Linked DNA regions of Canis lupus familiaris. The protein of the gene in region 5 binds, or shares a complex with, the protein of the main gene of each other region. Links are inferred from orthologs where the notes say so. Each region holds a gene or a part of one and is shown on either strand. Other genes may lie near its edges.

The links.
Region 1: the proteins of BMP2 (region 5) and HJV are in contact, whole or in part, in a crystal structure (PDB 4UI1), measured with the Homo sapiens proteins. The link is inferred for Canis lupus familiaris from reciprocal best matches to the Homo sapiens genes BMP2 and HJV. Residues at the interface, in NP_001191.1 of Homo sapiens: Phe331, Pro332, Ala334, Asp335, Leu337, Asn341, Ile344, Val345, Leu348, Ser351, Val352; in NP_001366281.1 of Homo sapiens: Leu40, Asn43, Tyr46, Val47, Tyr86, Leu101, Ala102, Ser105, Ala106, His108, Gly109, Ile110, Asp112, Leu113.
Region 2: the proteins of BMP2 (region 5) and BMPR1A are in contact, whole or in part, in a crystal structure (PDB 2QJ9), measured with the Homo sapiens proteins. The link is inferred for Canis lupus familiaris from reciprocal best matches to the Homo sapiens genes BMP2 and BMPR1A. Residues at the interface, in NP_001191.1 of Homo sapiens: Lys297, Pro330, Phe331, Pro332, Leu333, Ala334, Asp335, His336, Ser339, Asn341, Ile344, Val345, Leu348, Asn350, Ser351, Val352, Asn353, Ser354; in NP_001393490.1 of Homo sapiens: His66, Cys67, Pro68, Asp69, Ile77, Thr78, Asn79, Phe83, Ile85, Cys100, Met101, Lys102, Glu104, Gly105, Phe108, Gln109, Asp112, Arg120, Ile122.
Region 3: the proteins of BMP2 (region 5) and RGMA are in contact, whole or in part, in a crystal structure (PDB 4UHY), measured with the Homo sapiens proteins. The link is inferred for Canis lupus familiaris from reciprocal best matches to the Homo sapiens genes BMP2 and RGMA. Residues at the interface, in NP_001191.1 of Homo sapiens: Val308, Gly309, Trp310, Asp312, Trp313, Met371, Tyr373, Leu374, Asp375, Glu376, Lys383, Tyr385, Met388; in NP_064596.2 of Homo sapiens: Arg91, Arg94, Gly95, Leu97, His100, Ser101, His104.
Region 4: the proteins of BMP2 (region 5) and RGMB are in contact, whole or in part, in a crystal structure (PDB 4UI2), measured with the Homo sapiens proteins. The link is inferred for Canis lupus familiaris from reciprocal best matches to the Homo sapiens genes BMP2 and RGMB. Residues at the interface, in NP_001191.1 of Homo sapiens: Val308, Gly309, Trp310, Trp313, Met371, Tyr373, Leu374, Asp375, Glu376, Tyr385, Met388; in NP_001353437.1 of Homo sapiens: Lys97, Arg100, Gly101, Leu103, His106, Ser107, Leu110.

What each region holds. Positions count from the first base shown.
Region 1 is NC_049238.1:59,452,106-59,456,292, forward strand, and holds the start of HJV (hemojuvelin), read right to left. Parts: upstream 2,803-4,187; 5' UTR 2,592-2,802; intron 1,243-2,591; 5' UTR 1,153-1,242; coding exon 1,071-1,152; intron 675-1,070; coding exon 572-674; intron 458-571; coding exon 1-457. UniProt on the Homo sapiens protein: Acts as a bone morphogenetic protein (BMP) coreceptor. Through enhancement of BMP signaling regulates hepcidin (HAMP) expression and regulates iron homeostasis.
Region 2 is NC_049225.1:35,396,331-35,400,636, reverse strand, and holds the start of BMPR1A (bone morphogenetic protein receptor type-1A), read right to left. Parts: upstream 2,810-4,306; 5' UTR 2,736-2,809; intron 1-2,735. UniProt on the Homo sapiens protein: On ligand binding, forms a receptor complex consisting of two type II and two type I transmembrane serine/threonine kinases.
Region 3 is NC_049224.1:47,576,110-47,578,839, forward strand, and holds the end of RGMA (repulsive guidance molecule A), read left to right. Parts: intron 1-1,538; coding exon 1,539-2,210; 3' UTR 2,211-2,225; downstream 2,226-2,730.
Region 4 is NC_049224.1:11,451,344-11,454,855, forward strand, and holds part of RGMB (RGM domain family member B), read right to left. Parts: intron 3,257-3,512; coding exon 2,671-3,256; intron 753-2,670; coding exon 565-752; intron 1-564. UniProt on the Homo sapiens protein: Member of the repulsive guidance molecule (RGM) family that contributes to the patterning of the developing nervous system. Acts as a bone morphogenetic protein (BMP) coreceptor that potentiates BMP signaling. Promotes neuronal adhesion.
Region 5 is NC_049245.1:15,658,339-15,662,481, reverse strand, and holds the start of BMP2 (bone morphogenetic protein 2), read left to right. Parts: upstream 1-1,331; 5' UTR 1,332-1,406; coding exon 1,407-1,507; intron 1,508-1,801; coding exon 1,802-2,151; intron 2,152-4,143. UniProt on the Homo sapiens protein: Growth factor of the TGF-beta superfamily that plays essential roles in many developmental processes, including cardiogenesis, neurogenesis, and osteogenesis. Induces cartilage and bone formation.

The DNA.
Region 1 (4,187 bases), on a different chromosome or scaffold from region 5:
GGTGGCGTTGGCCCCCGATGCCACGGGGGAGCTGGTGGCCTGGACAAAAAGGAAGTCATTATCCAGCAGGGGCCAAGCTCCCTGGACACGGCACGTGTGAAAGTGGTGGTGGAAGCTGCGCACGTGGGGGTCCCCGAAGGAGGCGCAATGCAGGAAGCCCGGGGGACGACCGTGCAGCCGGGAAAACTGGCCTTCGTAGTCACAGGGGTCCGGGGCTGGGGGGCCAGAGGAGCGGACAGGGCCCGAGCCCGGAAGGGCTGGGCCGCGGGGCGGGGGAGGGGCCGTGGGGCCCTGGCGGGAGCAGTTGTGCTGGATCATCAGGTCTTCGATGCCGTGCACGGCCGAATGGAAGGCCAGGTCTCCGCGGCAGGTGCGGGCGGTGCGCCGGGTGCAGAGAGCGTAGGAGCGGAGGGCTCGGCACAGGCCGCCGGAGCCCACGGCTCCACCCCGGCCCCCAGCTTCTGCCCCTCCTCCTGCTCCTCCAGCTCCTCCAGCTCCTCCAGCTCCTCCAGCTCCTCCTCCTCCTCCCCCTCCCCCTCTCCTTCCTCCTCCTCCTCCTCCTCCTCCTCCTCCTCCTCCTCCTCGAAGCGCTCCCGGTGAACCCCCACCTCTAAGGCTCAGGGTGGATGATACATACTCAGCATTGCAGCGGAGGATCTTGCATTGAGAGTGAGCTGAGGACAAAGGGAGAGGATTGTGAGATGGCTCTTGGATCCCCACTTAATTCTCCCAAATCTGATGAAGGAAATTTCAGCTGCTCCTAAAACCCAACTGATCCCAAGTTCCAGTCCAGTCCCTGGTCCTCAGCCCCCAGCTCCCTAGTTCCTGTGTTCACTACGTCTTGCTAAAAATGTGTAAGCCCGCTAGGTCTCTTCTCCCTACGGATCAAGCGCTTTTCCAGTGTCCTTCCCCAAGGCGAATGGGAAATAAAATATATATCTATTTGAGAGCCAGGCGAGTGACTGGAACTCTCCAGCACCTGTCCCTTCTCTACACACATGCTCACCTGCCCACCCTTGCACAGCAGAGGACCCTCTAGGTTCCCCAGCCCTTCCCTAGCCCTTCCTTACCATGTCCACAGAGAAGGAGCAGGAGGGTGAGAGTGCTTAGAGTTGGGGGGCTGCCATGGGGAGACCAGCCTGGATCCCCCATACCTATGCGGCCAGGTCCCCCCAGGCTCCGGCTTTTTCCAGCTGACGACCCTCCTACCTAGTGAATTTTGACCGGACCTCCTGTAAAGGACTGAAAAAAGAAACTTGGCTGGGCATGGGGAGAGAAAAGAGTCGAAGATCATTCAGGATTATATGAAGAGAATCTGGGAAGATCAGGAAAAAGGATGAGCGGTCGGGAGTTTGGGGAGAATAGGGCTCTCCCAACTGTAAGTGTGGCTGTTAAGCCTCTGTGCCTTGTTCTTGTGGCCACTTTCAGGTCCCTTATGCAACACCCTGAGGTGGGGGTGGAAGGAAGGTTGACTAGACTGGCGGGGGGGGGGGGGGGGGGGGCGCGGGCAGAGTCCACTGTATTGCCCCATCCTGAGCTACCAAACAGCAGAATGTCAAAAAAAAAAAAAAAAAAAAAAAAAAAGGAGGAATTGTGGGGATGGATCAGACCCCAGTCATCCCAGTGGGCTCCTCAATATAATTAGGATTTAAAAATATTTCAAAAACACACCTCTTATTTGCTTCTCCCCATCCAGAGGGGACACTCTCCAGGGGTCATTCATTTCTCTTCCTCCTTTGTGTCAGAATGTTTTAGCAAGAAGGAGTGAGGGTGGAATACCCATTCCCTCTTTAGAACATCAGTATTCAAATGAAAAGGGACCAATCTCTTTCATCTGAGACAGCTAAGATTATAATCCCTCTCTCTCACAGAATAACGGGATGCAAACCAAGCATGCAAATCCATTCTTGTGTGTGTTGAGTCCACAGTTCTTGCATTTTTTTTATTTTTCCAAATCTGACTGAAGAATCACTCTTTTCATCTTTCCTTTGCAAATTCAGAAGTTCTCAGTCTTGCAGAGGACAGGCCTTGGGGCCTTGGGGCCTGTCCTCTGCAAAACTCCTCCTGCAAAACCCCTCCTGCCAAACTCCCCATTCTTGGCGTAAGGGTATGATTGGGGTCAAAGTCATGCAGGAGGGAGAATAGGGTGGGAAGACTGGAGTGTGTAAATAAATAATTTACAACAAGACATAGCCCCTACCCTTGGAAGCCCAATGTGAAGGTCACTGCCAAGTAGGGGCAGGTAGAAGGGTACCAGTGACTAATCATCTGAGGCTAAATCTGGCCATGGTGAGAAAACTACAGAATAGGGCATATAGGAAACTCCTAAAACTTCACCAGAAGTCTGAGGCAACAGAGTAAGGAGAGAGCTAAAACGGCCAGAGGAGAGACAGAAGATGAAACTTCAAGAGGCAAGTGGCCAGCAGCCAGAAAGAAATAAGACAGGAGGAGAAATGGAGATGGGGCACCTTGGTATGAAAAGAGATCCTAGCTTTTGGACTAGAGACATTCAAGTAGGTGTCATAATTTTCTGAAAGTCTAACTTCATTCCAAAAGCGTATTAAAGGAATTGCAATTTCATTTTGACTTACTGTTTCCAGAGGACAAACATTACTCTGATATCCAATTCTCCAGCCATGACTGCCTACTCTGTCGGTCAGCTCCAGCCAGGGGATCCCCCGTCTTTCTCCATGTCTCCCCCAGGTCCCCAGACTGGCTGCAATCTCACTGAGGTTAGGGAACCAGAGAAGATTTGGGTGGGGGGAAGGGGAAGTAAATGGCTGGCCAGAGTACTGGACAGCTGAGCGGGGGAGGGAGGTGGCTACTGAGTTGACTGTTTTAAAAATAGCTAAGTCCAAAATTCCAGGAACGTCAGTGGCGGTAGGGTGTGGGTTGGGGGGATGGGGAGGGTAGAAGGATTAGAAAGAATATGGAATATAGAGTGCCAAGTGGGGAAGGGGCGACAGAAATATTATAGGCAAGTCAGATATCCACTTCCAGGTTATGTGACTCTAGTCACTGCCTACTCCAGGCAGCCCTCCAGCATTCTCAGTAATGAGCTCCCAGCCTTTAAAAAGTAGAGTGGGAAATTACACTCTTTCTTTCACCGCTTTCATCCCTGCTATATTGAAGATTGCATTTAGTTTCTATTGGTCACATCTAGAAGGTAGGTGACTTCAGATAGGGTCCATAGCAGAGGTAGTTCACACCCCTTCCCCCATCTTTGCAGAGTATTTCAGAAGGACTAAAAAAGCCAGCTGTCCAGTGGAGAAATCCGAGCTCTGAGTTGCCTAGGTCTGTTTCAGTCTACCAGAACAGATCCTTGCAGCTGTCTATCCCCCTGTCTCCTCCATTTCATTCTCTTAGTTTATACAGTAATTCCTCTTCCTTCCCTCTTAACCAATTCACACACAAAATATAAGCTCCCTAGTTGTTAGAGGAGGAGGCTAACAGAGGCAAAAAGGTGAAGAAGGAATAAGAATAGAGTTTTTTGAAGGTTATTAATCCACAGCGTTGGGGGGGTGGATTGGGACTTGGAAAGATAAAGTGAGATAAGAAGAGATTCAGAAAGATACTTTTGTGGAATAACATAATCTTGTGACCTTTTAAGATATTGCAACCAAGGAATTTAGCCATATCTTATTTTTGCAGTTATAGGCATCTGGGATCATCATCTTATATTTGCCAAGTGAAGTGAACACAAAGCCTGATTCCAAATAGTGTCACTAAGGCATTTGCTTAATTGGTTTGCATTTAATTCAGAATCTAGCAGTCTGCACAGTACTCTTATTATGCATATATTTCTGAAAAATTTAGATTTCTCTCAACCACATGAGTCCATAGCACAAGGATTTTATTGCAAAAATATGAAATGCCAACCAAACTATTCAAGTGACTTTAAAACACGGTAATTTGACTATGACATCCCAAGTGGGATTTACTCTAGGGACAAAAAGAAATGCAAAAATATTTTCAAGTAGTCATATTGTTGGTGGTAGTATTGGTATTGTTATTGTGCAACTATTGTGGGTGGTAGTATTGGTATTGGTATTGTGCAACTATCATGGGTGTTATTGTGCAATTACCATTGTAAAATAAACAAACAAGGATTAATGCTAGCATCTTTGTGAACCAGGATTTTTGGTGTAGAATAAGGAGATGCAGATTTATCATTGATGAAATTAAGT
Region 2 (4,306 bases), on a different chromosome or scaffold from region 5:
ATCAGGCTCTGCACAGGGCAGGGAGCATGCTGGAGATTTTCTCTCCCTCTCTCTCTGTCCTTACACATTCCCTCCACTGCCAGCAGTTGTGCATGTGCACGCGCACACACACATCCAAAAAAAGAAATATAGATCACAAAGGACCTCAGGGGTGAATTGGCACTTGAGATTTTTTTTTTTTAAGATTTTATTTATTTATTTGTGAGAGACACAGAGAGAGGCAGAGACACAGGCAAAGGTAGAAGCAGGCTCCAGGCAGGGAGCCCGACGTGGGACTCGATCCCGGGTCTCCAGGATCACGCTCTGGGCCGAAGGCAGACACTAAACTGCTGAGCCACCCAGGCTGCCCGAGAGGAGTTCTTAAAAGTTGACAGGGCTACCACAAGAAAAAGTGGAAAAAGCATGTCAGGAGAAAAGAATAATAGGAGCAGAGAGCAAAGAAATACAGGCAGCTTCAAATCACTGGCTGAAGAGTACCACACATACACGGAGGGGTACAGAGGAAGAAAACTGAATGTTTGCTAACAACCAATGCTTACAGGTTTTCATAATTTCAGGTAAGTTGATCCCTACCTAAATCAAGAGCCTCATCATTTCTTGCTTGAAACAATTAACAATTAAGAGCATCCGAATTGTCGCCTGCTTTTGGTGTCCCCCTCCTCCTTCCAAACTATCATCCATATCCCTGCAGGATTAATTTTAGCAAAACAAATTATGATTCTAAAATGCCTCTGTTAAAATTTTTCGGTGGCTGCCAACTATTCACAAAATAAAGCCTAAACTCCCGACCACAGCACTGAGTCCTTCACCATCAAGGTCTCTCCTCGCCTTGTCCCTCAAAGCCGCTCTCATATCCTGAATTCAAACCACACAAAATGATTTCTTCTGTCTGTTGTACAATCGATATACCTCAGGCTTCCCTTGCTTACGCTGAGCTCTGCGCGTGAAATTCTCTCGCCTCCCAAATTCCACTGGGCAATCTTTCTCATCTTTCGAGACTCTACTCAACTATCACGTCCTATGTGCAGCCTCCCGGACTGTTCCCTCCTCTCACAGCAGTGAAGCGCCCAACCGCGAGGGCCCTGCGATATTTCAGGTGAAATGTAATGGAAGGGCCTAGCATTGGATGGGGATGGGGGGACTGGAAGAGAAAGGACGGAAACATTCACGGCACATTCAGAGGCCACCGGGTGGGACTGCATCTCTGACTAGAGCGGGAAGGAAAAGGTGAGGAACCACATCCGGCACCGAGACTTTGCGTGTGGGTAACAGAGATGTCCGCTAACAGACATGGGAACCCCGGTGCGACGCGAGCGGTTGGCCATACAGGCCGAAAGCTTAGAGAGAGGGACACAAGTGAAATGTAAGGTTGAGAGATCACTATAGAGGTAACTGTTGAAATGAGATCAGGAAAAACATAAAGAAGAAACAGAAAAATTTCAAAGATAAAACCTCGTGGAGGTCATTACTTAAGAGTAGGAGGAGAAGAAAAATTATGAAGGAGTGATTAAAGAAGTAGAGCTAGAAGAACACAGGGCCGGGCAGCCCTGGTGGCGCAGCGGTTTAGCGCCGCCTGCAGCCCAGGGTGTGATCCTGGAGACCCGGGATCGAGTCCCACATCGGGCTTCCTGCATGGAGCCTGCTTCTCCCTCTGCCTGTGTCTCTGCCTCTCTCTCGCTCTGACTGAATAAATAAATAAATCTTAAAAAAAAAAAAAAAAAAAGAAGGAGAAGAACACAGGGTCATAGAAACCAAGAGAACTGCAAAAAAGGGAAAATAGCAACTACTACAGTGATCAAAGAGTATGAAACCTAATAAAAGGCAATTAAAAAGTTGTAAGTGTTTTTCAAAAGAGCAAAGACACAAAGAGCAAAGGCAGAGTGAGAAAAAAGAATGAGCACGCTACAGAAGCAGCAGCCAACTGCTGCAAAGCCAACTACCCTACGAGGAAAGAGTACAGACTACTTCATAGTATATGTCCTATTTATTTTTCTAAAATATAGATCCTAAAGAATTCAAACCTTTTACCTGATAATCTGAGTCTGTAAATGGATCAAAATTAATGCACTTGACATCCCCTTTCTTAGAACGGCTTCTTTTCTCCTACCCTTGGTGTTACGACAGTTCCTACTTTTAAAACAAATTCTATCTCCAAAAACCTATTATTTTAAGACAACATTTTTATTCTGAATTCTATAATGTGTGAAAGATTCAAAATAATATAAACATCCATAATCTTCCATTCTGAACTCTGGTTGTCTTTAGGGGGGATAAATACATCCTTATATATCATCTAATGCTTATTTTCTATAATTAGAGTGAAGAAAGTGATATCAGTAATAAATGAGTACCTTTTATTTTTGAAGACTTTAAACATGAATAAGAAGGGGAAAATGTATTAGAACTACTTATGAACTCATAAAGAGGTGTTTAAAGAAACTAAAAAGACTAAAATAAAGTTGCAGCAGTAATACATACACATGGACTATTTTCAATTCCTTCCTTCTTTCCTTCCAAGTTAGTTAATATATAGTATAGTATTGGTTTCAGGAGAATTTAGTGATTCATCACTACACACAACACCGCGTGCTCATCCCAACATGCACTCTCCTTAATGCCCATCACCCAATTCAATTTAGCTCATTCCCCCACCCACCTTCCACGACTATTTTCAAATAGTTGATATGAAAATGTTCATATTATTCTAATTATTTTCTTAAAAGTCTTTTCCTTACCTCAGAGATGTGGCTAGATAAAACTGTACTTCCAATTTTCTCCAAACAGCTTTGACCTATGCTTCCATCTCATGAATTCCAAGACAGTATTAAACTGATGCATATTTTCATAAATCTGTTAAAAAAAAGAGAGAGAGCTTACTTAGACCAAAAGAAACACACAAAAGCAATACTAAAAATTCGTCATGTGTAAAATTATATATTTTCAACATAAAGTCAATGAAATTCTAAAGTATTTTAACCTATCACTTTATCATTTTCCCAACCTCTGCCCAAAGATGTTTCCTATTTTGTATATTTTCAACTTCACAAAGGTAACAATAGTTCTGTGGAAGAAACTTCTTGCATGCAAAATTTCTGTATTAGCTTAGATTTCTGAAGGAAAAAAAAAATCACATCTTAAAACGAAAAAACAGGAACAGTTAGAAGCAGCACTAAAATCCACAATTCTACAGTATTGAAATTTCTACTTAGGCAAAAATATATTTGGCCACCCAGCTAATACCCCTATTTTTCACTTTCTATCACAAAATCTCAGTAGGTAGTTCTAATTTCAGTCAATCTTCTACCTAGAATATTAAAGAACTGGAGGGGTCAGGAATCAATGGCACTGCTTGGTCTAAGCCCAGGGGATAGGTTACAACTATGTTTCCACTGACATTTAGTTCCCTGCTGCATTAAGACACAAAGTTGATAAATCTAAAAGCGGGAAACAATGAAAAATTCTGATTTATTTAAAAAGGCATGTTGCTTACTTAGAGATCTTAAAAATAATTTCTATGAACATATCTTTTAAATGAAACTTCAAATAGCAAAGTATTGTTTCATATTTTAAAAGGAAAAATTTTAAGCTGTATGAACACTACCTATGTCCCACGGCAAGGTCAAAATGCCTTTGTCTTCAAGTCCATTTAGAGGTATCGTTTGTGTCACACTGAGGTTTAGTAGTCTTGGCAATAATGACTGAATTCATGTAAACTGGGGCAACCTGAAACGGTCTAGCATATCAGATAGCAGCCTTTCTTAAAGACAAGAGTCTCCACTCAGCAGACGGGCTGCCATAGGACCATGCTAAATCTTTCATGGTCCAACTAAAGACAGACTGACCCTGAAAGCAATTAGTAATGCTTTGTCTGCATTTAGGAGCCTTAAACAGTCTTCTCAATGCACCGGTTACCCACAACTTAACTGGTCTCTAATATTTTTCAGGGTATTCACAGGACAATAAAACTCTTAGACCATCACTCAGAGAAACGAGGGCAGGAATGGAAGAGATACAGTGTTTAGGGATTTTTTTTTTTCCTGAGAGGTTCACAGTCTTAAAAAATTTCCCTTACATAATCAAAAAATAAATGCATTATGTTTTCATTTTAGAAATGACAAATATCTACCTCCAAAGCCACTCTTTGCCAACAACTCCATTCTTCCCTAATGGCGTAGGTGGAAGAAAAGAGGGAAGGCAATCACTGTATTTCACAAAGCTAGAGATTAACCCATTCTCATAAGGGTTATAACAATCCATCAAAATGACTATGTTTAAAAATATATGGCCTGATTCTAATTCTACCAGA
Region 3 (2,730 bases), on a different chromosome or scaffold from region 5:
TGTGTGACTATCATAAATAAATAAAATTAAAAAAAAAAAAAAAAAAGATGGCTGTGGACCGTATTAGTTTCCTGTTGCTCCTGTAACAAATACCACGAAGTCAGTGTTTCAAACAAGCAGAAATGTCTTCTCTTGTAGCTCTGGAGGTGAGAAATCTAAACTGTGTCTTTCAGGGCTAACATGAAGGTGTTAACAGGGTCAGTGCTTTTGGCTTCCAGGAGAGTATGTTCAGGGCTCTTCCAGCCTCTGGTGGTTGCCAGCATCCCTGGGCTATGGTCATACCCCTCCAGGCTCTGCCTCCATGGAAAGAGCCTTCCGTCTTTGATGGTCCAACCTCTCTCTGGCTCCATCTTAGGAGGACATGTGTGCTTGTATGCAGGGCCCACCCAAATAATCCAGGATAACTTCTCCATCTCAGTATCCTGAACCTAAACACATCTGCAGAGTCTCTTTTGCTTATAAGGTAACCTTCACAGGTTCCTGGCATTAGGGCCTGATATCTTGAAGGCCATTACTCAGCCTACTACAATAGATAATGAAGTTTTATTTTTAATTAGCTGTGCTTTTCTTTTTATGGTTCACCTCTATATATAGTAAATGAGCTGGTTTTCTATTTAGGGTAGTGATCTAAAGTTCCCCTCCTAAGTCAGTTTTCTCTTTTTTTTAAAAACAAGTTGGTTTTGTTTTAACTAAGTTTTTTAATTCCAGTATCGTTCCAACACGGTGTAATTTTTTTTAAACGATTTATTTATTTATTTATTTATTTATTTATTTATTTATTTATTTATTTATTCATTCATGAGAGACCCAGAGAGAGGGTCAGAGACATAGGCAGAGCGAGAAGCAGGCTCCCCACGGAGAGAAGGATGTGGGACTTGATCTTGGGATGCAGGATCACACCTGGAGCCAAAGGCAGATGCTCAACCCACTGAGCCACCCAGGCGCCCCCAACACGGTGTAATTTTAATCTCAGACGTGCAATACAGTGATTCGACAACTTTATACCACACTCGGTGCCCATCACAAGTATGATCTTCATCCCCTCCCCGTGTCCCCCCCATTCCCGCACCCCACTCCCGTCTGGTCGTCGTCAGTCTGCTCTCCGTAGTTCAGAGTCTGTTTTGTTTCTTGGTCTGTTCTTCTCTCCTTTAACCCCCTTTGTCCTCTAGTAAAACACGTTGCTTTATTTATTTATTTATTTTTTATGATAGTCACAGAGAGAGAGAGAGAGAGAGAGAGGCAGAGGGAGAAGCAGGCTCCATGCACCGGGAGCCCGATGTGGGATTCGATCCCGGGTCTCCAGGATCGCGCCCTGGGCCAAAGGCAGGCGCCAAACCGCTGCGCCACCCAGGGATCCCAACACGTTGCTTTAAAGAAGGATGTTAAGTGCTTCATAATGCCGGTGGCACCAAAAGGTGACCGGGTCGGGCCGGCGGCTTGGGCTTGGGGCACGGCGGGGGCTCCTCGGTCCGGCGCCCCCGCACGCGCCCTGCGGCACCACTAACCCCGTCTCCGTCCCCCCCCCCCCCCCCCCCCAGCTCACCATCATCTTCAAGAACTTCCAGGAGTGTGTGGACCAGAAGGTGTACCAGGCCGAGATGGACGAGCTCCCGGCCGCCTTCGCCGACGGCTCCAAGAACGGCGGGGACAAGCACGGGGCCAACAGTCTGAAGATCACCGAGAAGGTGTCGGGCCAGCACGTGGAGATCCAGGCCAAGTACATCGGCACCACCATCGTGGTGCGCCAGGTGGGCCGCTACCTGACGTTCGCGGTGCGCATGCCCGAGGAGGTGGTGCACGCCGTGGAGGACCGCGACGGCCAGGGCCTCTACCTCTGCCTGCGGGGCTGCCCCCTCAACCAGCAGATCGACTTCCCGGGCCCCGGCGCCCGCAGCCCCGCGCCGGCCGCCGCGGACACCTTCCCCTACGAGGCGGCGGCGGCCAAGTGCAAGGAGAAGCTGCCGGTGGAGGACCTCTACTACCAGGCCTGCGTCTTCGACCTGCTCACCACCGGCGACGTCAACTTCACGCTGGCCGCCTACTACGCGCTGGAGGACGTCAAGATGCTGCACTCCGACAAGGACAGGCTGCACCTGTACGAGAGGACGCGGGAGCCGCCGGGCCGGGCCGCCGCGCCCCGGCCGCGCCTGGGCAGCCTCGCGCTCCTAGCCCTGCTCCCCGCCTTGCTGCGGGCCGTGGCCTCCGCCTAGGCCCGAGGGCGCGCTCCTGGCCCCAGCCCGGGGCGGCTGCGGGGGGCGGGGGGGGGGGCGGCCGCAGGGGGCGGGGGCCGGGGGCGCCCTGCACGTCTGCGGAGCTCAGAGGCCGAGGGAGCCGCCGGCCGGCGGGCCGTGGAGCTGGGAGCTGGGAGCTGTGGACGGGGTGACCTCCCCAGCCCCCGCTCCCACCCCCTGCCTGGTGGGGGCCCCGGTGCGGTGCCGTCCGTGACAGTTGAGCTGTGCGAGGGGGGAGCCGCTCCCCTCCACCCGCCCCCAGTGTGAATGTGCAAAACAGCCCCTCAGGCCCGAGCCCCCCACGCCCGCCCCACCCCCGGAGACACTGGGAGACCCTGGGACCGATCAGAGTCGAGCTCCCCCCCACCCCAGCGATGCACTGAATCAGGCCCAGCTGACTGCTGCCCGCGCCCGCCACACGCACACACACACTCACACGAGCACACTCGCACACACTAGGCCGAGGTGCCCAGGCCTCCGCGAGGCTGGACCCCCCCCC
Region 4 (3,512 bases), on a different chromosome or scaffold from region 5:
CACAACGTGTTGTCAGTAATCACCAAGGAAGGACTTTGCACAAAGCCCCTCTGGCTCCCTTTTCTCAGCTCCTGTGTTTTGCAGCTCCTCCAGCAGGTGTCACTATAATCACAGAACAAACATTCCACAGCATGGTATGTAACTTTATTTTTCTAGCATAATAATTTAAAGTATTTACACACTGCACACTCACTGTTTTACACAGATACTTATTCATATACCTATGAACCACATCTAAAGGTTTCTTTGCAAAGACTCGACACACTGGGAATTTCCAAGCATAACAAAGAGAAGGAAAGGACAAAAAAAATAGGCTTTGAGTCTTTTAAAAGACAGCCATGTGGCGCATCTGTGAAAACCAGTGTTTCCCCCCCCAGTCTTAAGCTCCCCCAGGAGACCTCTGAATAGCTACAGCCTATCCAGATGTTGGTAGAACCTGAAACTTTGGGCTAAGGAGAATTTCAAGAACCCAAATGCACAAGTAGTATTTTCTCTAGAAGTGCTAGGACAAAAACAAGAATAACTTGGTCTTCCACTAGAGAAGCATCTGTATGTCTCAGTTACCTGTGGGGATGGGAAAGGTCGTACAGGGACTCGGATTGTAAAGGCACAAGAGCCAAATACACTGGTAAGAATGCGAGTGACACAGAATGCCTGGCAGGGGCCTCGCCAGCTCTCCGATAGGGCAACGTGGCCTGAGTTAAGGGTCTGTCCTTCCCCAACTGTTAGTAGAGGTGGTGGTTTTGCTTTCCCTGAAAAGGACAAAGGTTACATCGTTCATCTACGCCCTAAGGCCAGATACTGTAGGAGTTTCTACCGCTTTTACTTCACTTTCATTATACTGTTTGCACAAGAATAGTGGTTATAAGTACTCTATTTTCCCTCCTTTGTTCTACTCTGTTACATAACAAAGTTACTAGCTAACTCTAGCTTCTGAACTGGCCCATGGTTCCCCAGGTGAACAAACACAGCCCCAGTTCAGAGCTGATGGCAGGTACGCCCCCAGTCCAGTTTTTATAAAAGGTTAACTGGTTTAGGTTTCAATTCTCTGGTGGTGCATCTCTATCACGTCAGAAGCCGGATGCCTTTGTGGTTTTCCCAGACTCGCCAAGGCGACTCTGTCCTAGATCACAGAAAGAGAGGACGGTCGCCACCTCTAGATGAACCCACAGCTCCATCCTGCGATTGGATGACCGATCAGTTCATGACGAAATAGAATTTTCCGCAAAGCGAAATCCTCTTTTCCTGCCAGTCGGGGCCTCTGGCAGTGCCCCTCACCAACGGGACGTGGCGAAAGGCAGGGATGCCAGGCCTGGCCCGCTACAGCTCAGCACGCTCTGGATGCACACTGCTGTGGTCGCTCAAGTTCATTTTTTTTTTGCACTGAGCTAAGGTAAAAATTGTGTCCTTGCTCCTTGGGACCAAACACTTACATAGACAAACGAGAAATTTCCCTCCCCTAGCACTCCCTTCCTCGCGCTCTTGCACTTGGGGCGTGGGGCTTTCCTTTAGCACCGGGGCCGCCAACGGGGAAAGGGAGGCGGCAAGGAGGTACCTGATGGGAGTTTAACCAGGTTCCACGAGCAGGTGCCTAAGGAGCCTCTCTTAGCAGCCCGAGGAGGGGATGACAGAGACAGACACGCGGCCTGGGGCGCCACCAGGCCTGGATTAGCCAGCCCCCCTGTCAGTCGCATCAGGGAGGCCCTGCTCTCGGGCGGCCCGGGCCTTGCCAGGAGGCAAGCGTCCAACACAGCCTGGCTCCGGGCTTGGGGGGGGGGCGGGGGGGCGAGGAGGGCCCTCCAGGGGTGGAGCCGGGCGCAGCGCGGTTCCCAGGGCACCCAGCTCCGGCTCGAGGCCCCGGCTTGCACCCAGGCGCGGGCAAAGGGGGGACAGTGGGACCGGGGACCTGGATGAGCAAAAGTCTGAGCGCTCGGGGCGGGGGCGGGGGAGTCTAGCACAGCGCCTGGTACCTCTCCATGACCTTGTCACCTCTTGCCCCTTCGGGCCTATGGAAACAGCAGTTTTGTGTGGCTCAACCTCCCGTGCGGGACGTGCTCAGTGGAACGATCCGTAGGGCCCGCAGGCGGCTTCTCCCTGCCCCTCGCAGGGTGACGGCCTCCAGGGGGGCGGGGGGGGGGGCAGGCCGGGGTGAGGCCACCTGTCGCGGAATGGGGTGGGGAGGAGGGGGGCCAGGGGGGGATGGGACAGCGCCCGCCCCCGGTCCTCTCCAGGGGCACGTGGGGGGGGGGGTCTGCGTATAGGTACTGTACGTACTAACCAGGTACACACATAAATATTTAATATATAAAAAATAAAGTGCTTTCTAACAGGTCCCCAGGGAGGGACATTATAAAATATTTCACAAAACTGCAAAACAAAAATCAGTACAATCGAGGCCCGCTGCCTCCCCCGTCCCCGCCGCCGGCCCCTCCGCACGCCCCCGCGCCGGCGGCTGCACGCTATATACATATATACTCTTTTACTCAATATATTATGACAATATATATTTTAAAATTCTGTTATAGACCAAAAAAAAAAAAAAAAAAAAAAAGCCCAGCCCCGCGCCGCGCCGCCTAGAGGCCTAGAGCAGCCGCAGCAGCAGCAGCCCCGCCAGCCCGGCGCCCAGGGCCCGCGCCCCGCCCCCGCCCGCGCCCGCGCCCGCGCCCGCGCCCGCGGGGCCGCCGCCGCCCGGGAACAGGTGCCAGCGCTCCCGCCGCGGGTGCAGCGCCGCCACGTCCTCCAGGGCGCTGCGCGCGGCCGCCGAGAAGTTGGCGTCGCCCGTGGTGAGCAGGTCGAAGACGCACGACTGGAAGTAGAGGTCCTGCAGCGGCACCCGCTCCCGGCAGCGCGCGTGCGCCGCCTCCAGCGAGAAGCCGGGCCCGGGCGGCGGCGCGGGGCGGCCCAGGATGGCGGACACCCGGCCGCGGCCGTCGTCGATGCGCTCGGCCAGCGGGCAGCCGTGCACGCACAGCTGCAGGTCCTGGCTCTCCTCGTAGGCCATGGCCAGCGCCTCGGGCATGCGCAGCGCCAGCGTCAGGTAGCGGCCCAGCTGGCGCACGAACACGGTGGTGCCGATGTAGCGCGCGTGCATCTCCACGGCGCGGCCGCTCTCGCGCTCCCGCACCACCAGGCTCTTGGCGTCGCCGTCGCCGCCGCTCGTGCTGCCGTCCACGAAGGCCGCCGGCAGGTCGTCGCTCACCGCCTGGTACACCTTCTGCTCCGTGCACGCGCCGTGGGCCTTGAAGATGACGGTCACCTGCGGGGGAGCACAGCGCCGTCAGCCGCGGGGCCCAGGGGACCTCCGCTCGGGGCCGGGGGTGGGGAAGGGGGGCGCAGCGCTGGGGGATCCAGGCGAGCTTCCCCTGGGGCGGTGGGGGAGGGGGGGGAAGGGGGGGCCCAGCCCTGCGGGGTCCAGGCGAGCTTCTCGGGTCGGTGGACGCAGCCTTGCGGGGTCCAGGTGAGCAGCCCTGCAGGGCCCAGGGGACCTCCCCTCGAGGCAGGGGATGGGGGGG
Region 5 (4,143 bases):
CCGAGACCGCCGCTGCGCCCTTCCCCGCACCCGGCGTCGCCCAGGATGGCCGCCCCGAGCCACGGGCCGCGGCGGCGCTAGCGCGGAGGGAGCGCCCGACCCTCGGCCCCCGCGCCGGGCCCCGCGTCCCGCGGGCGCCGGTGCCTGAGGACGACGACGCACCGGCTTCTGCCCTGTCCCTTCCCTCGCCTGCCCCGTCCTCCTCCCCCTGCTCGCTGTTGTTGTGTGTCAGCACTTGGCTGGAGACTTGTTGAACTTGCAGGGAGAATAGCTTGCGCTCCCGCTTCGCGCCGGTGCCTTGGCCCCTGCGGAGCCGGCCTCGCCGCCCGGACCCCGCGCCCGGACCCCGCGCCCGGACCCCGCGCCCGCGCCGCCCCACTGCTCCGCGGGGCCAGACCCGGGGCCGCGGTGCCCGGCGGCGGGAGGAGGCGGCGGCGGCGGCGGCGGCGGCGGCCCGAGGGAACCGGGTCCCTGCGCCAGGTCCTTGGACCAGAGCTTTTTCCATGTGGAGGCTCTTTCAATGGACGTGCCCCCGCGTGCTTCTTAGACGGTCGGCGGTCTCCTAAAGGTAGGGGACGAGGGCCCCGGGCTGGGGTGGGGGTACGGGGTAGGGGGTAGGGGCGGGGCGCGGGGCGCGGGCGGCCGCCGAGGGCGAGCGGCTCCTGGGGCCGGGCCGGGCCGGGCGGACGTAAACAGACCCCCTCCGGGTCCACGTGCTGCCGAGCCCCTGCGGCGATGCCCCCACCAGACCGCCCCGGCGAGCCTGGCCCTCCCGGCTCGCGCTCTTCCGCCCCTCCTCCCTTCTCTCTTCTCAGTATTTTATTAGGGCTGTTAACACTTAGATGATTAAAAAAAAAAAAAAAAAAAACCTCGAAGAAGCCCAATCTAGAGGGTGGCCTCTGGATTTCACCCGTTAGTCGCCAACCTTTGCGCCCTGCCATGGCCATCTTCTCTCCCTTCTTCAAGTTTCTCAGGGAGACCTGCTCTCTACTCAGAGCCAAGTCCCATTTAGGAAAATACTAGAAGTTGGGGTTCTCCCTGTTTGTTGCCAGGAATGCGAGGGGGGCAGTACTTAAATGCCACCTTCTGGTGACACGTGACCGAATAGGTATTATTTATGTAACTGGAGGAATATGTATGTGTGTCTGGACTGCATGGGGCGGGGGTTCGGGGCTGGGGTGGCCCTGTCCTGACACCTCTGAGGTTAAAGGCGTGGGCCACAAGTTGCAAGTGGCTTCGGAAGTTGTGGCCCTGAGTTTACTGGGTCTGGAAGTCAGAGGGAGGGCGGGAGGGCGGGAGCGAGAGAGAGTGTGAGTGTATGTGTGTATCAGGAAGTTCTATACGGTGCCTGTAAGGAAGTCACATGCACCATCCGTGCGTGTTTATATGCAAGCCAGCGCTGGGCAATGTGTTTGGGTTTGTTTAGCGATCCGGGAGGTGTCAGACCAAGCGGTGGTTTCCCCAGGTTCCCTGCACGGGCTGTCAGCGCGAGTGTCACAGAAGAAAGGTGACAGTCTTGACGCTGGTGGGGTGTGTGTGTGTGTGTGCGCGCGCGCGCGCAAATCGTGCCGGATGGATGAGAGTGAGTTGGAAGGGGGGGGAGCCTTCAGGCTCAGGAACTAGGGGCTTTCCATTCTCCCAAACGTTCGAGCTTAAGACCTTTGAAGTATCCCCGCGAGTATTGCACACCAGGTGGGCACCCTGGAGGGGGAGGCAGCGGCCGGAGCGGGAGCCCCGGGACGCGAGGGCGGGGAGAGGATTGGGCGGGGAACTCGGTGACTCACGTCGGCCCTGTCCGCAGGTCGACCATGGTGGCCGGGACCCGCTGTCTTCTAGCGTTGCTGCTTCCCCAGGTCCTCCTGGGCGGCGCGGCCGGTCTCATTACGGAGCTGGGCCGGAGGAAGTTCGCGGCATCTCCTGGCCGCTCCCCGTCCCAGCCCTCGGACGAAGTCCTGAGCGAGTTCGAGTTGCGGCTGCTCAGCATGTTCGGCCTGAAGCGGAGACCCACCCCCAGCAGGGACGCCGTGGTGCCCCCCTACATGCTGGACCTGTACCGCCGGCACTCGGGCCAGCCGGGCGCACCGGCCCCGGACCACCGGCTGGAGAGGGCAGCCAGCCTGGCCAACACCGTGCGCAGCTTCCACCACGAAGGTGAGGCGTGGAGCAGAGCGTGGGGGCCGAGATGCGCGCGGAGAGTCCCCTCCAGAAGCTCCCCACTGTGGGCCGACTGTTGGCATCCCTGGGAAGGCAGTTCTTGCCTTTGTAAGAACCTTTCCGAACCGAACCTGGCTTTACCGCGCTGCCTGTGTGGCGAGGGAGCCAGGGATTCCCCTTTGGTCAATCTGCACCCTTTTCCTGGCCTGCAGCCAGGAGAGCGACTCCTCCTCCAGGAACTGGAGAGAAATCAAGTGATGGGGAAGATGAGGGCAAAAGGCATGCCCCTAGTCAGCTAAATGTGCAAGAATTTCATAGGGGAAGAATGAAAAGGAGGGGGGCAGATTGGGATCTCTTTATGTCTGTTTGGAAGCCCTTTTGCCCTGTAAATCTGTTTCTCCTGCTTCAGCTGGGGTTTCAGGCTAGACACAGCCAAGGACAGACTTTTCAGAGATACTATTGAAGAATCAAAGCCAGGGGCCCCAAAGTCTTTCTAATTTACAGTTGATCTGGGCCTGGTTTGGAAGATTTCGAATCCCTATCTAATCCCCGTGAGAGATCAATCCCACAATCAATCTTATTGTTTCCACAATGACTTTCTTGTTTTGTGCTTAAATCTGAGATGAACTCCCTCTTAGAGACAAGGCAAGCCTTCAGATAAAAGCTTTTGCAGCAGCTGCCTGATGGTTCTTTTTTTTTTTTTCTCCATGTGCATTGAAATGTGGATTTTTTTTTTTTCTTTTATGATACTGGATGTGGTTTTCCTAAGGTACGCTATTTCTGCTTGTTTCATTAGAACAGCATTTAGTGGATTTGAAATGTCCAAGAGAAGCTATTGACATCTGTTGTACCCAAGTTCTTGGATCAATTAGTCAAAAATTTTATGTTCCACTTTAGTTCTTTTTCTACACTTTTAAATACCCTTTTGGCTTAATGCATTCCAAATAGAGCACGGGTTTCATCAAGTTCTAGAGAAATCTCCAAAGCTGTGTATCACAGAGCAGTCACTTGTAGATTATTGGGGAATCGGGAGTGAAGTTCCCATTTTCTTGCCTTGCTTCGAGGTGGTAAATTTCAGGCAGAAATCTATTCTCTAACATAAACAAATAAGAACTGTTACAGCTACCTATTTTCTCTCAGTGTGAAGGGTGACTACACTTGTGAGAACAGCACTTAGTGTTGGGAAGAAGTCCTAAAGGCAGGTGGCGTAACCAAAGGTACTTCTTCATCAAAGCAGTTGTACACTGTGAAGGGACACGGGATTGATAACCCATTGATCGTAATCCATCATTTTCCAGCACATTTCCAAGTGAGGTGCTTTTTTGCAGTAGAGCTCCCATGAGAAAGCACAGAAGGCATCCTTCTACTCCTTCAGGATTCGTTCGCTGAGAAGCAGAAGTTGTCTGTTGTCATATGTAGAAATGTTTTCACTCCTATATGCTCTGTCAACATAATCTTGGAATGATTGTAGTAGATGCAGCTCATCATTCCCAGCTGATGCTGATAAGAATTATTTTTCTGGATAGAAAAGTAGCAAGAGCAGCTATTTCAGCCACCTCTCCTGGAAATTTAGCCTGGAACCACTCTTAATTATTTTAAAGGCTAGGAAGGTACTGTGTGTCTCTCATAACTTAAAGGAGGAACACTTAAGTCGTCTGACACCTAAAACATTCAGCTGCATGAGGATCCCGTCAGTGGAGTCTGTGTATTTCTCTTTCCTCTAGGAGTGGCTTGATCAAAACTAAACAGGCTACAAATTATTTGAGTGTGTTATTTTAACCTAAATAGCGTGCTTGAGTTTATAAGTCAGAATTTATAACTTTAAAAGTATGAAAGTTATGTGCAGAGCAGTAGAGAAATTATCAACCTGCTTAAAGTCAACTTACAGTAACGTCAGATCTCAGTGCAGTTAGATGATAGAAAAAGCCATGTAATTTTTGCCTCAAATTTCATCACATCCATTTCTGTTCTTGTTATGACTAGCATATC